Linked DNA regions of Arabidopsis thaliana. The protein of the gene in region 1 interacts with the protein of each later gene in a pairwise test. Each region holds a gene or a part of one and is shown on either strand. Other genes may lie near its edges.

The links.
Region 2: the proteins of EDA25 (region 1) and AT2G18220 interact in a two-hybrid assay, tested with the Arabidopsis thaliana proteins (one study listed by BioGRID).

Annotation. Positions count from the first base shown.
Region 1 is NC_003070.9:27,267,934-27,275,617, reverse strand, and holds EDA25 (CCAAT-binding factor), read left to right. Parts: upstream 1-1,682; 5' UTR 1,683-2,021; coding exon 2,022-2,739; intron 2,740-2,828; coding exon 2,829-2,901; intron 2,902-2,996; coding exon 2,997-3,116; intron 3,117-3,241; coding exon 3,242-3,317; intron 3,318-3,554; coding exon 3,555-3,623; intron 3,624-3,716; coding exon 3,717-3,797; intron 3,798-3,897; coding exon 3,898-3,969; intron 3,970-4,187; coding exon 4,188-4,280; intron 4,281-4,486; coding exon 4,487-4,636; intron 4,637-4,735; coding exon 4,736-4,819; intron 4,820-4,905; coding exon 4,906-5,049; intron 5,050-5,312; coding exon 5,313-5,402; intron 5,403-5,597; coding exon 5,598-5,680; intron 5,681-5,770; coding exon 5,771-6,154; intron 6,155-6,306; coding exon 6,307-6,529; intron 6,530-6,621; coding exon 6,622-7,293; 3' UTR 7,294-7,526; downstream 7,527-7,684. Other genes in the region: JAZ6 (jasmonate-zim-domain protein 6), read left to right, coding at 1-74, 227-553, 1,078-1,282. UniProt on the Arabidopsis thaliana protein: Together with NOC2, probably involved in pre-ribosome export from the nucleus to the cytoplasm. Required for coordinated cell cycle progression during female gametophyte and pollen development.
Region 2 is NC_003071.7:7,926,057-7,932,489, forward strand, and holds AT2G18220 (Noc2p family), read left to right. Parts: upstream 1-1,958; 5' UTR 1,959-2,006; intron 2,007-2,168; 5' UTR 2,169-2,197; coding exon 2,198-2,210; intron 2,211-2,296; coding exon 2,297-2,490; intron 2,491-2,590; coding exon 2,591-2,662; intron 2,663-2,752; coding exon 2,753-3,307; intron 3,308-3,395; coding exon 3,396-3,698; intron 3,699-3,799; coding exon 3,800-4,129; intron 4,130-4,223; coding exon 4,224-4,430; intron 4,431-4,551; coding exon 4,552-4,638; intron 4,639-4,860; coding exon 4,861-4,955; intron 4,956-5,042; coding exon 5,043-5,174; intron 5,175-5,488; coding exon 5,489-5,795; 3' UTR 5,796-5,897; downstream 5,898-6,433. Other genes in the region: PPa2 (pyrophosphorylase 2), read right to left, coding at 6,083-6,125, 6,207-6,288, 6,380-6,433. UniProt on the Arabidopsis thaliana protein: Together with SWA2, probably involved in pre-ribosome export from the nucleus to the cytoplasm.

The DNA of each region.
Region 1 (7,684 bases):
AAGTTGATTCAGAAGTTTTCTATTGGTGAGGCCTCTACTTCTACCGAAGACAAAGCCATATATATTGATCTCAGGTACTGTACACACAAACTTCATATGTATTCGAACTCCTAAAGTGTTTGTTTTCACATTTTGTAGCAATTGAATTAGAGAAAGAACTACCGGTTATAGATGTATGGACTATGGAGTTTGACTAATTGTAAAAATGGGTTTGATTTGATTTTAGTGAACCGGCAAAAGTAGCACCGGAGTCTGGAAATTCACAGTTGACCATATTCTTTGGAGGAAAAGTTATGGTTTTCAACGAGTTTCCTGAAGACAAAGCTAAGGAGATAATGGAAGTAGCTAAAGAAGCGAATCATGTTGCTGTTGATTCTAAGAACAGTCAGAGTCACATGAATCTTGACAAAAGCAACGTGGTGATTCCCGATCTTAACGAGCCAACGAGTTCCGGGAACAATGAAGATCAAGAAACTGGGCAGCAACATCAGGTTGTGGAACGCATTGCAAGAAGAGCTTCTCTTCATCGATTCTTTGCTAAACGAAAAGACAGGTAAACTAAACTCCGAAACTGTTTTGTGCTTGGTTATGCTTTTTCTAGGCCGCTCGTCAAAATGTATGCATAGATTAGGATCAAAGTTTCTTAAAAAAGTTATATGTAAAAATAGCTAATAATTACCATATTAAGACTTATTCGAGTTATTCTAGGAATCCCACATCGGATTAGAAGCGTATTACCAATCAAGTTTAAGTTGAACATTCATGAAATTGAACATAGGGTGGTCCTAGTATGTTTATGAATTATGATTCCTAGAGTAAGATTTCGAGATGTGACTCAAGTGTCATCATTTATAAAGAACATGTAAAAAATCTTACAAGTTACAATGAAATTCGAGATGGGACCTAGAGTAGTATATAAGAGATATGAGTCCATCATCTATGTGTCCTTGATCTAGGAAAATTATTAGTAAAATGTCGAGAAATTTCTAGTTAAAAAACACTAACTAAGAGTTCTTTGTAAATCAAAACTTCAATATCTACTTTGTCTTAAATGTTGATTAATTGTTTTGATTTCAGGGCTGTGGCTAGAGCTCCATATCAAGTGAACCAACACGGTAGTCATCTTCCTCCCAAGCCAGAGATGGTTGCTCCATCGATAAAGTCAGGCCAATCGTCGCAACACATTGCAACTCCTCCAAAACCAAAGGCCCATAACCATATGCCGATGGAGGTGGACAAGAAAGAAGGACAATCTTCCAAAAACCTTGAACTCAAGCTTTAGGGCGTATAAAATGCACGATCGAGTTCACGTTTCTAGTTTTCACTTATTTAGGATTTGAACCCAAATACCCTTTTATATTTTCTTCCATTACTTTTGACCAATTTAAGTTATTTATAGTACTGTATTACGTAGCTAGTATTTATATTTCAAAACATACATATTTTGATACTTGTTTTTTAGATTCTTTAATTAAAATTGTCATCTGGATTACCCTTTATCGAAATTTTTTAATCACCTGATATAATCTCACCAGTGATGGATTTGCGTTGTTAGTAATTTTTCTAAGTGGCAAAAGTATATTAACCTATAATAGGTTTCAAAGATATACATATAATGTTTCTATCAAAGATATTAGTATAATATTTTACCACATGATCGAAATCTCACCAGTTATGGATTTGCATTGAATGTTCTAGCGATTGGGCTGGACCGTCTCAGGAACCCAACCTTAATGAAAAAACATCGTCTCATTGATTTTAGGTCGTTAAGTCTGTTTTGCCCTTGTCTTATCCCGTAATTACGAAATTAGCCTTCTACCATTTCCTCTGTCTGCTTCTCTCTTGCCGTTTTCTAAAACCCTAAAAATTTCTGTTGAACCCCAAACATTGAAGTTTATCTTTCTTTTTCATTGTTCGATCTCAAAGCACAGAGATTGCTTAAACCTAACTGTCTCAGTTCTTTTAAAAACAGTCATCTCTCACAAAACTCTCTTAACCCTCTTCATATGCTTTGAGAAAAAATGTCAAAGATAAAGCCTTTGAGTAAATCATCGCAGGACTTGAGTCTTCTCACATCTGATATCGCATCATTCGCTTCTTCTATTGGCTTAGCTTCTGCTCTTCCTTCTTCGGGTTTCAACGACACTGATTTCCGAAAACCAGCTAAATCCAAAACCCAGAAACGGAAAAAGCCTAAGAAGGATCAGCAACACAAGGATGAAGATGAAGAAGGAGAGCCAAAATCGAACATTGGGAATGAAAAGGGAAAAGATTTTGGAGCGAGGAAGCAAAACAAAGATGCACCGGTGAAGCAAACGTTACAACCGAAGCCAAAGCCTGGATTCTTATCGATTGATGATGAGAGTACTGGGTACAAGAAAAAACGTTTCGATGAATTCAAGAGTTTGCCTAAGTTACCATTGGTGAAAGCGAGTTTATTGAGCTCTGAATGGTACAACGATGCAGCTGAGTTTGAGGAGAAGGTGTTTGGTGGCCGGAAAGTGGCGGTGGCGAATAAGGAGGATTTTAAGGGTGTGGTGGAGAAGAAGAGAGAATTAGGAGAGAGATTGATGTGGCAATACGCAGAGGACTTTGCAACTTCGAAAGGAAAAGGTGGAGATATGAAGATGGTGATTTCTGCTCAAAAGTCTGGGACAGTTGCTGATAAAATCACTGCCTTTGAGATTATGGTTGGAGAGAATCCCATTGCAAATATGAGATCTCTTGATGCCTTATTGGGTATGTTTCTGGTTTTGTTTTTCAATGGTGAAATCCTCTGTAGCATTTTGTTGATGTCTTGTTCACATTATCTACTCTGTTCATTGCAGGAATGGTGACCTCAAAGGTTGGAAAAAGATTTGCATTTAAGGGTCTTAAGGCTCTATCAGAAATTTTGATCAGGCACATTTTTCTTACTCACACAATGAGCTATGGATTTATGTGTCAGTCTTGCATCTTTTTCTCATTGACTGAGGTTTTTTAAATTCTTTCTTCAGGTTATTACCTGATCGCAAGCTGAAGTCACTTTTACAGCGACCTTTAAACATCATTCCGGAAAATAAGGATGGTTACTCGCTTTTGCTGTTTTGGTACTGGGAGGATTGCTTGAAACAGAGGTAAAGATCTCAAATCATGCCATGAGGGATGTGTTTAATCACACTATGTCAAAGATCTGTGTCTTCTATCCGTAATTGTTCTGGGTCGATGATTCGTTTAACAGCTTAGCATGCTGACTTTGTAGGTATGAGCGCTTCGTCACAGCCCTTGATGAATCATCTAAAGATATGCTTCCAGAGCTGAAGGACAAGGCTTTAAAGGTATATATCCTATCACCACTCTGCTCGTGCTAGCTTGTTTAGTAGCACTGGTCTCCAGGTTTTGTAAGATTCTTGATGAGCTTTAATATTAGAGATTTGAGTATCATCAATGTAATCCTTCTCTGGATGATGCATAACGGCATGGTCCGTAGTTTTCTTTTAGCTACAGTGAGTTTTTTTGCTTGGTAACGTGATTCGGATCTTTCCTTCAGTAAATTTTTTCTTGTTTGGTTTCAGACAATATATTTCATGTTGACAAGCAAATCAGAACAAGAGCGGAAATTGCTAGTGTCATTGGTGAACAAGGTATTGTTTGTTGTTCATTCAAATATTTGTATCTAATTTAAATTTCTCAGTTGTGATCCCTTTAATTGTTCCATGGATTACTTTATATTATAGTTGGGGGATCCTCAAAACAAGAGTGCATCTAATGCTGATTATCATCTGACAAATCTTTTGGCTGATCATCCTAACATGAAGGTACGGCTATTCAACCTTCCTATGCCAGTTTCAGTATTTCGTTTATTAATTGGTTGTTTGGATTCTTCTCTTTGGCTCATGTAATGTTATTTTTTTTCAGGCTGTGGTTATAGATGAAGTTGACTCCTTTCTCTTCCGACCCCATCTTGGGTTACGAGCAAAGTATCATGCTGTATGTCCATTGTTCTCTCTAATTATGTTCACGAGAACCATTTTTCTTTATTTTCTTGCTCTTCTTTTTAAACTGATTCACGCTTATTGTCGTCTAAAGTATTGTCTTTGATTTGAATGGGAAACAATTTTACTAAGACTTTAGAAAAGAAAAGAAGCATAAACTTATCCATGTTTAGCTTTCTAAACAATGCTCATTAATCTTTGTAAATTTCACAGGTTAACTTTTTGAGTCAGATCCGATTGAGCCACAAAGGAGAGGATCCAAAGGTGGCAAAACGTCTAATTGATGTATATTTTGCCCTGTTTAAGGTAACTGGCATTGAAGTCAATAAATTTAACATTTCCTTATGATCTTCTTAAAATTTAGTCCCTCCACTTCCACCTTACTTTCATGATCTCAGAGACTTCTGCTACCCCTTAGTGTTTTCTTTTGGGGTGGCGTTTGTCATAAGTCATAACATGAAATCTTTCACTAGTTGGATATTCACTACAGAAGTGTGTTTGCATTCTTGTAGGTTTTAACTACAGAAGCAAATAGGAAACAAGGTGCAGATGACAAAGGAGCCGCTGATAAGAAAAAATCCAACCCAAAGGACACAAAGCAAGAAGTGTCAACTGATTCACCTATTGAGTTGGATTCAAGAATTCTATCAGCTCTACTGACGGTTAGTCTGGATGTGTTTTTTTGGTGTACATGATGTATGTAATTTTAAAGTATTGAGACTTCACAGATCAACTTATGCTTTAGTACTCCGTAAGTGCAGGGAGTTAACAGAGCTTTTCCATATGTTTCCACTGACGAGGCTGATGATATAATTGAATCCCAGACGCCAGTGCTTTTCAAACTGGTAACCATTTAAAGCTTCATTATAGAAGTTTAGTTTCATAGTTACAACCGAAAATTGATATAGAAAATGGGATTTTGAATATGTAGGTACATTCGGCGAATTTCAATGTAGGAGTCCAATCACTGATGCTTCTTGACAAGATCTCATCCAAGAATAAGATTGTTAGTGACAGGTTTTACCGTGCATTGTACTCGAAACTTCTACTCCCCTCCGCAATGAATTCTTCCAAGGCAAGCTAAACTTTGAACCTTCTGTTTTTCCATGTTCCAATCACGTCATTTTATTCTTAGTTTATGTATGGGTTATAATAACCCTTACAATTTGGTAGAGCCCGGAATTGGTTTATGAATGTTGGCATAAGTACATTCATTTATTTATAATCTTGTGAAAGCAACTTATATTGTGACAAAAACATCAAGATGTCTGCCCCTGGCATGAACCATAGCATTTTCTTAATGACCGAGTTTACTAAGTTGCCGTTCTTAATTTGCAGGCTGAAATGTTTATTGGGCTTCTTCTCAGAGCCATGAAAAATGATATAAATATCAAGCGTGTGGCTGCCTTCTCCAAAAGAGTCTTGCAGGTCGGTAACATGAATCATATAAACCATCAACCCCGTCGTTTGTAGCTCTAGTTTCATTGACAATGATGACAATATTCGCATCATTGATCCTATACAGGAATCTTGATTCTTTTGTTATTAAATTTTCGATGTCGACACACTGTATAGTAAATTTTTTTGTCATCTCTCAAGTGTACTCTTTAACGATTTGAGTAGGTTGCGCTTCAACAGCCACCACAGTATGCCTGTGGATGCCTTTTCCTATTATCTGAAGTCTTAAAATCAAGGCCACCTCTATGGTAAGCTTTTTTTCGTTCTGTTAACCACATATCCATGGTTTTTAGTTTTTTTACCCAATGATACAATGGGTCCTTCTATTTACGTTGCAGGAAGATGGTGGTCCAGAGGGAATCAGTTGAGGAAGAAGAAGATATAGAACATTTTGAGGATGTGATAGAGGGAGATGATGTTGATCCCAATAAGAAAGCAGAGAATGACGAGAATGTTGTTGAAGTTGATCATGATGGTGTCGAAAAGTCAAGTAGAGATGGTGATTCTTCTTCAGATGACGAAGAGGCTTTGGCAATCAGGCTATCTGATGAAGAAGATGATAATGCTTCTGATGATTCTGAAGAGCTAATTAGAAACGAAACTCCCCAGCTTGAAGAAGTCATGGAGGTTTCTAATGATATGGAAAAAAGAAGCCAACCGCCAATGAGACCGAGTTCTCTTCCTGGAGGATATGATCCTCGTCATAGAGAACCTTCTTACTGGTTAGTTAATCTCATCTTTCATCAAAAGCTTAAGTATACTGCTTTTGTCCCCATTAAACAAGCGATACTTGGAACAACGATAATATTTTAAAAACTTTCTTGATATTATAGCCTTATTGGTTGGAACTGAATCCTTGATCTCAAATTAACAGTAACGCAGACCGTGCAAGTTGGTGGGAATTGGGGGTTCTTTCAAAACATGCTCACCCCTCGGTTGCTACAATGGCTGGAACCCTTCTCTCAGGAACAAATATTGTTTACAACGGAAACCCGCTGAACGATTTATCTCTAACTGCTTTCTTGGATAAATTCATGGAGAAGAAACCAAAGCAAAACACTTGGCATGGTGGTTCCCAGATTGAACCTTCCAAGAAGGTAAAAAGCTCATGCTTCAACTATTAAAGCTTTAACCATATTGTTATCTACTTTTCCCCTGTAACGTTTTATTTTCTCATCTCATGTTGCAGCTTGACATGTCAAACCGTGTGATTGGAGCTGAAATTCTCTCATTAGCAGAAGGAGATGTGGCTCCTGAAGATCTAGTCTTCCACAAGTTCTATGTGAACAAGATGACCAGTACGAAGCAGTCAAAGAAAAAGAAGAAGAAGAAGCTACCTGAAGAAGAAGCTGCTGAAGAACTTTACGATGTGAATGATGGAGATGGTGGAGAAAACTACGATAGTGATGTTGAATTCGAGGCTGGTGATGAGAGTGACAATGAGGAGATTGAGAATATGCTGGATGATGTTGATGATAATGCTGTGGAAGAAGAGGGCGGTGAATATGACTATGATGATCTAGATGGAGTAGCCGGCGAGGATGATGAAGAGCTCGTGGCTGATGTGAGCGATGCAGAGATGGACACAGACATGGACATGGACCTGATTGATGATGAAGATGATAACAACGTTGATGATGATGGTACTGGTGATGGTGGTGATGATGATAGTGATGGTGATGATGGTCGTAGTAAGAAGAAAAAGAAAGAGAAAAGAAAACGGAAATCTCCATTTGCGAGTCTTGAAGAGTACAAGCATTTGATAGACCAAGACGAGAAAGAGGATTCGAAGACTAAAAGAAAAGCAACATCAGAGCCCACAAAGAAGAAGAAAAAGAAGAAGTCTAAAGCATCAGAGTAAGAAGCAAGACTTGTTGCTTGCTATGCAAGGCTCCTTATGTTGAGTATTATTATTATACTGTGTAACGCTGGAGATAGTCACTCCAATTTTGTGGCGTTTGTTTTGTATTTCTTTCTTCCTAATGTTTTCATCTTTGAAGAGAATAACTGTACGATTATGTTTTAATTTAATCACTTGAAACTTTGTTCAAATATCACAAAAATTGAGTATTTTTAAAATCAAATATTGAACTTAGTGATGTGAATGTGATGGTATTATGGCAGGCGTGAGAATCCAAGTTGATATAGTGGTAATTGGGTAGTTAGTAAAATCATCTTTGATCTTTACTTGAGTGATATGATTAAGACATGCTTAGTTCTTATGTAACCTTAAATCTTACTTTTTTTTAGGG
Region 2 (6,433 bases), on another chromosome or scaffold:
ATTTTATCTTCCGTTAATAAACTAAACATAGACTAAGACTTGCATTGCATGATAAACGTTGTGTTAACAATAGAATAAACACATACTTATTATATATGTGTTTATAAACACAATTAATAAACAAAAGAAATGACGACAAGCACATGGTTGATTGGTTTATATATTAGTCCATCACGTAACCAAATGATTGAAAATATTTGTAATTCATGAATAGCTACAACTGTAAAAAGAAAATTCTGAATTACACAAAAAGAATTTGGTTAAATTTAAAGGATAGTATATGCACAGAGACCAATCTTTTGCATTTTCAAATCGGTCAAAGCATCAGTTGCTTTCGAATCGTTGGAACTTGGAAGCTGCTAAGCGCTAACTAGAGAAACTTGTCTTTCGACCGATAAAATTTAAAGGATATGAAATTCGTGATACACACAAATTTATAAATAGCTGTTAACATTTACTGACCAAAATAATATAAGTTATGTGAAAAAGTTTGAAAAATAACACAATATTTTTTTTTGTTCACTAAAATATTATAAATTATGCGAACATTGAGTTTTTTATTTTGCCATTTAAAATGTTCACAGTGGCTAACATGATTGAAATCTTAGTAGTAAGACTCAAAGTTAGTCATTCAACTACCATAGTGAATCTTTTAACCACGAAACCACCATAATCAGTCTTCCTGTAAATAATCACCTAATCGGATGTTGCTACCTAATAAAAAATTATTCATTTAACTATAAAATTTATCTATCACAAAACGAAATTATATATCCGTTTGGGTTTACTAGAGAGGATTAATGATTATATTTTATGATTAAACAAAATTAGCTATCTGTTTGGATTTATAAACGAGTTTATATTTTACAAGTAAATGAGGTTAAATGTCAGTTAAGATTTATAAAAGAATTTAGATTTTATAATTAAACGAGATTAAATATCGGTTTGAGTTTAGAAAAAACGGTTAGATTTAAATTTTATAATTAAACGAGTTTAAATATCGGTTTGAATTTAAAAAAGAGAATTAGAGTTTAGATTTTGTAATCAAACGAGATCATATATCATGTTTGATTTATGAAAAACAATTAGACCATTCACATTGCATAACCTCTCATGTATGTCTTAAAGACTAACCATAGTTAAAATTAAAGACATTTCCTTTTGGATGTCAAAAATATCTTCCTTAAGATATTTTAGACATCTAAAAAATAAAATGTTTTTAATTTTAATCATGGTTAGTCTATTTTTACCATGGTTGGTCTTGGAGACATTAATAAAAGATTATGCAATGTAGATGCTTTTAGTATTTAGAATGGAAGTGAAAAAAAGAATTCATCGTAAAGATGAACTCAAGAATTGTTCGATAATATATGTGTTATTTTCAAAAATACTTTAATTTATAAATAATGAATATTTGATATCTTTTAAGTAAATAAAAAATGTGGTAAAATGAAAATAACTAAACAAAAAAAAACTTGAAATATACAAGGGATTGGGAAATGTCATGCATAAGATACTTTGGGGTTTGATGACATAGATGAATAAAGATTTTGAAGAACACATGCCGGTTAAAGCCTAAATAATTCGGTTAAACACTCGCAAATTGGATTTTTGGTTAAACCAATTGGTAGACGTGTCAAACCTAAACCTTCCATTGCGCTAAGACGTTTCGAAACTCACAAAGATAAACCCTAAAACAATAAACTTTTCCTCAGACATCAGCCTCGGCGACCACGACAACAACTTCATTTTTTCTCGTCGAGTTTTTTTCTGGGAATTGCAGGTAATCTCTCGTTAACGTGCCCCTCTGGTTTCTCAAATTTGGGAACTCTGTTTTTGTTCTGTTCTGGGAAAGTAGAACAATTCGAATTACGGTTCGACCGAAGTCAAACCGGGTTTTGTCCGGTTAAATAAATTGAAAGAAAAAACAAAGGAACACTGTAATAAAAACCCTCTCCTAAAACCCTAATTTCTTCTTCTCTCCGTCTTCCTTCTTGTTGTTCCCGGTGCGATTTCTTTCATTTTGATTTCGATAGTTTATTCTTCTCCTTGTTTTCACTGTTTGTGTGATTGATTCTCTCCATGAATTGATAATTCTTACACTATTGTCTTTTAGCTCGACTCTTAAACTGATTTGTTCTTGTTACCATTGATGGTTTTAATTGCAGGTGGATTTATCAGAGTGTTGTGCTAACAAATGGGTGCCAAAGGTTCGATTTTTATCCAGTTTTTGGATTTATATTGTAATTAGAGCTTAAGGGATTCGAGATTGATAAACACTTTAAATCAAATGTAGATGATAAAAAGCGTGTGAAGAAGTTGAAATCTAAGAAACTAGAAGCTGAGGAAGAGCTCAATAATGTTCAAGAAATCGATGCACATGATATAGTAATGGAGCAGAAGAGCGATAAGAAGCGTGGGAAGAAGGTGAAATCTAAGAAAGCAGAAGCTGAGGAGCATGAAGAAGAGCTTAAGAGGCTTCAAGAAAAGGTGAGTCATCTATGAAACATGTTTGGTTGCGATATTGTAATGATATATTAGTGGAAAGTTGAGTTTTTTTTTTAACTTTACGGATTTTTTTGTTCCGCAGGATCCTGATTTTTTTCAGTATATGAAAGAGCATGATGCAGAGCTTCTAAAGTTTGATGCTACTGAAATTGAGGTGAGTTTTGTTAGTTTGTATATGTTGAGTTTGTGACTCGACTTCCAGTTGTGTTGGAAGCTTTTTGTCTTAGGGATTCACATTTTGTAGGATGATGCTGATGTTGAACCTGATACTGACCTGGAAGACACTGAAAAGGAAGGTGATGATGAAGCAACAAAGATGGAAATTGCAAAGAAAGTGCACGTGCAGAAAACGATTACAGCATCGATGGTTGATGCATGGAGTAAATCAATCGAAGATGAAGCGAAGCTAGGTGGAGTGCGTTCTATCTTGAGAGCTTATAGAACTGCCTGTCACTATGGTGATGATACCGGGGACGATCAATCGACAAAGTTTAGTGTTATGTCAAGTGAGGTGTTTAATAAGATAATGATATATGTTCTGAGTGAAATGGACGGGATTCTTCGTAAGTTGTTAAGGTTTCCTGAAGATACTAGAGGAACAAAAGAGACTATATTGGAGCTCACAAACACTAGGCCTTGGAAAAACTATAATCATTTAGTCAAATCATATCTTGGGAATTCCCTTCATGTTCTGAACCAGATGACCGACACAGAAATGATAACCTTTACTCTGCGCCGCCTAAAGCACTCATCGGTTTTTTTAGCTGCTTTTCCTAGCCTCCTAAGGAAATATATTAAGGTGTGTTGGAGCAAGATAGTATTCTGTTCATGTTTCTTCTTTATGGTCCTTTCTTTGCTCACTTCATTGTTGCTCTTCTGCCATCTAGGTTGCACTTCATTTCTGGGGAACTGGTAGTGGTGCGCTCCCTGTTGTTTCCTTGTTGTTCCTGAGAGATTTGTGCATACGCCTTGGATCTGACTGTGTTGATGACTGTTTCAAGGGAATGTACAAAGCGTATGTGTTGAATTGCCAGTTTGTGAATGCTGATAAATTGAAGCATATTTCGTTTCTTGGTAACTGCTTCATTGAGCTTCTCGGCACAGATATCTCTGCAGCATATCAGCATGCATTTGTCTTCATAAGACAATTGGCAATGATTCTGCGTGAAGCGCTTAACACAAAAACAAAAGTACTTTCTCAATAATCTTCATAAATTGAGTTCTTCTGACAACAATTATGTGTTGAGAAAAGTTGCTGTTAACTCTTATTTACATTTGGTTGTTTTCACAGGAAGCATTTCGAAAAGTGTATCAATGGAAATTCATCCATTGCCTTGAGCTTTGGACTGGAGCTGTTTGTGCCTACAGCTCTCAGTCTGAACTCAGACCAGTTGCTTATCCGCTAGCCCAAATAATAACTGGTGTAGCGCGACTGGTTCCCACGGCTCGCTACACTCCCCTTAGACTAAGATGTGTTCGTATGCTAAACAGGCTTGCTGCTGCGACTGGCACCTTTATACCTGTCTCAATGCTTCTTGTGGACATGTTAGAGATGAAGGAGCTCAACAGACCTCCCACTGGAGGTGTTGGCAAAGGTGTAGACTTACGCACACTACTGAAGGTAAAAACTTGCGTGGTTGGGTCTTTACTAATAGAGTATAGAATGAAACTTTATCCTGCAAACTAACCATTTTGGATATTGGCTCTCTTTTTAGGTAAGTAAACCAGCAGTGAAGACAAGAGCGTTTCAGGAGGCATGTGTTTATACAGTAGTGGAGGAGCTTGTGGAGCATTTGTCTCAGTGGAGTTGTTCCGTTGCTTTCTTTGAACTATCATTTATCCCGACCATAAGGCTGCGTAGCTTTTGCAAATCCACGAAAGCTGAGAGGTTTAGGAAAGAAATGAAGCAACTCATCAGCCAGGTAATAAAGAGAAAAAAAGAGAAATGCGGTTTTACTTTATGTCTCTTGTACTTGCAATAAAAGAACCGACTTTATTGACTTGTGTGTTGATGACTCCTTCAATCTCTCTTTTGCTTTTCAGATTGAAGCTAACTCAGAATTTGTCAACAAAAAGAGAGCTTTGATTAAGTTTCTACCCAATGATCTTGCTGCTGAATCATTCCTTGAGGTTTAGTAACTCATTTCTCTTGATCCATTTGATTTTTTCAATTGTTAGTGATGATAATACAAAACCTATATTTGTTTCTTTCTTCCCGTCTTTGAAACTACTGCTGCATTCTTCGAAAATTTTGTGGGATACCACAAGTTGTTTATGATTACAGAACACATGTTTACTCCAAAATGATTGCAAACATGGTTTCAAATTATTTTTTGGGTCTTCTCTGTTCAGGATGAGAAGAAAGCAGGAAAAACCCCTCTATTGCAATATGCGGAAATTATCCGCCAAAGAGCCCAGCAAAGAAACGAATCGCTGGTGGAATCTGAGTGCGTTACATTCCTCTAAAGTTGATCACTTGTATATTTTTGTTGTATGACTTTGACGGATACTAATAATCCGTTTGGTTTCTCCAGTGTAATTGTGGGAGAGAACTCAGCTGTCTTTGGGAAAAACGCACCAAGCAGTGATGATGAAGATGATGAAGATAGGATGGAAAAGGGTGCTGCAGCTTTCAATTCTTCTTGGTTACCGGGAAGTGACTCCAAGTATGTCTCTCTTTCTCTTAAAATGCACACATATCGGGGTTTCATATGGTATAGCACCGCCAACGGTAGTGTATGGTGCGAGTAGGTTAAAAATTACTTCCCCAAATATCACCAAGTAATATAGATTAGGCCTGGTCGGGTCTATGGTTTTAAGGCCTTCTGTTTATTTCTTAGTACTTTGGACATTTATGGGTGGCTTTATCAACTTAAGAATATAGATAGGATGGGAACCGGGTTGTCTCCTACGCCTATAACGTAGATATTTTATCTGACCGTTGTGATATAACCTAAAACAACAAATGTGTAATTAACAGAGAAAAAGAGCCGGAAGAAGAGAAAACGAAAAAGAAGAAAAGGAAGAGAGGTGGAAAGAGTAAAACAGAGAAGAAGCAGGATGAGCAAGGCTTAGGAGAAGATGACGTTGTGGAGGATTTTGTGTTGAGTTCTGATGAAGAGGAAGAGGATCTGTTTGATATAGGAGGAGACAAAGATGAAGATGATGCAGTAGACGAAATTGCAGATCCTGAGACCAAGACATCTAAGAAGACTAAGGGCACTTATAAGACCTGGCATAAGGCTTACAAAAAGACCAAGAAGAAGAAGGCCCGAGTAGCTTCTTAAGTTTTTTTTGTATCTTCTTCGATTTGTATGAGAGTACTTTTCGGATGTTTGCGAAACAACATTAAACAAAATTTTGGGGAAAAGAAAAGCTAATATTTCAAATTTTATGATTGTACTGGAAATTTTTCATCATCATCAGAAAGCTTTAAGTTCAACAATGTTTTCTGATGAGCATTACGAAATTAAATGCACCAATTGAAATTTTATCTAACATGCATGTAGTATAGAAGGCGGCTTCAGTGATGTCTAAGCAAACCGGGAGGAACGGAAAAGGACTGGTTTCTTCATTAGCGTTGCAGGCCAGCTTTGATGTAAGCTGCGTAAAGATCCCTGCGTTTCAAAACAGTACATTGCTCATTATTAACAAAACAACGTGTAAATAATTTGGTGTTTGGGATAAAACAAACTTACATGGAGTCCTTGATAGCGTCTATGGCAGCTTGAGCGGGAAGGAAAGCTTCAACGTCGACTTTCTTGTTCTCGTTCTTCTTGTCTAAAAACATTGTTTGTTAAGTGAAAACTGAAAACAAATCATAAGCGAAAACAAAATTATACGTTAAATGCAACATGTCTCTGTAGGATACAGTCCTCAAAGAAGCGACGGATTTCAGCTAGACGGTGAGGGGGAAGCTCTTTGA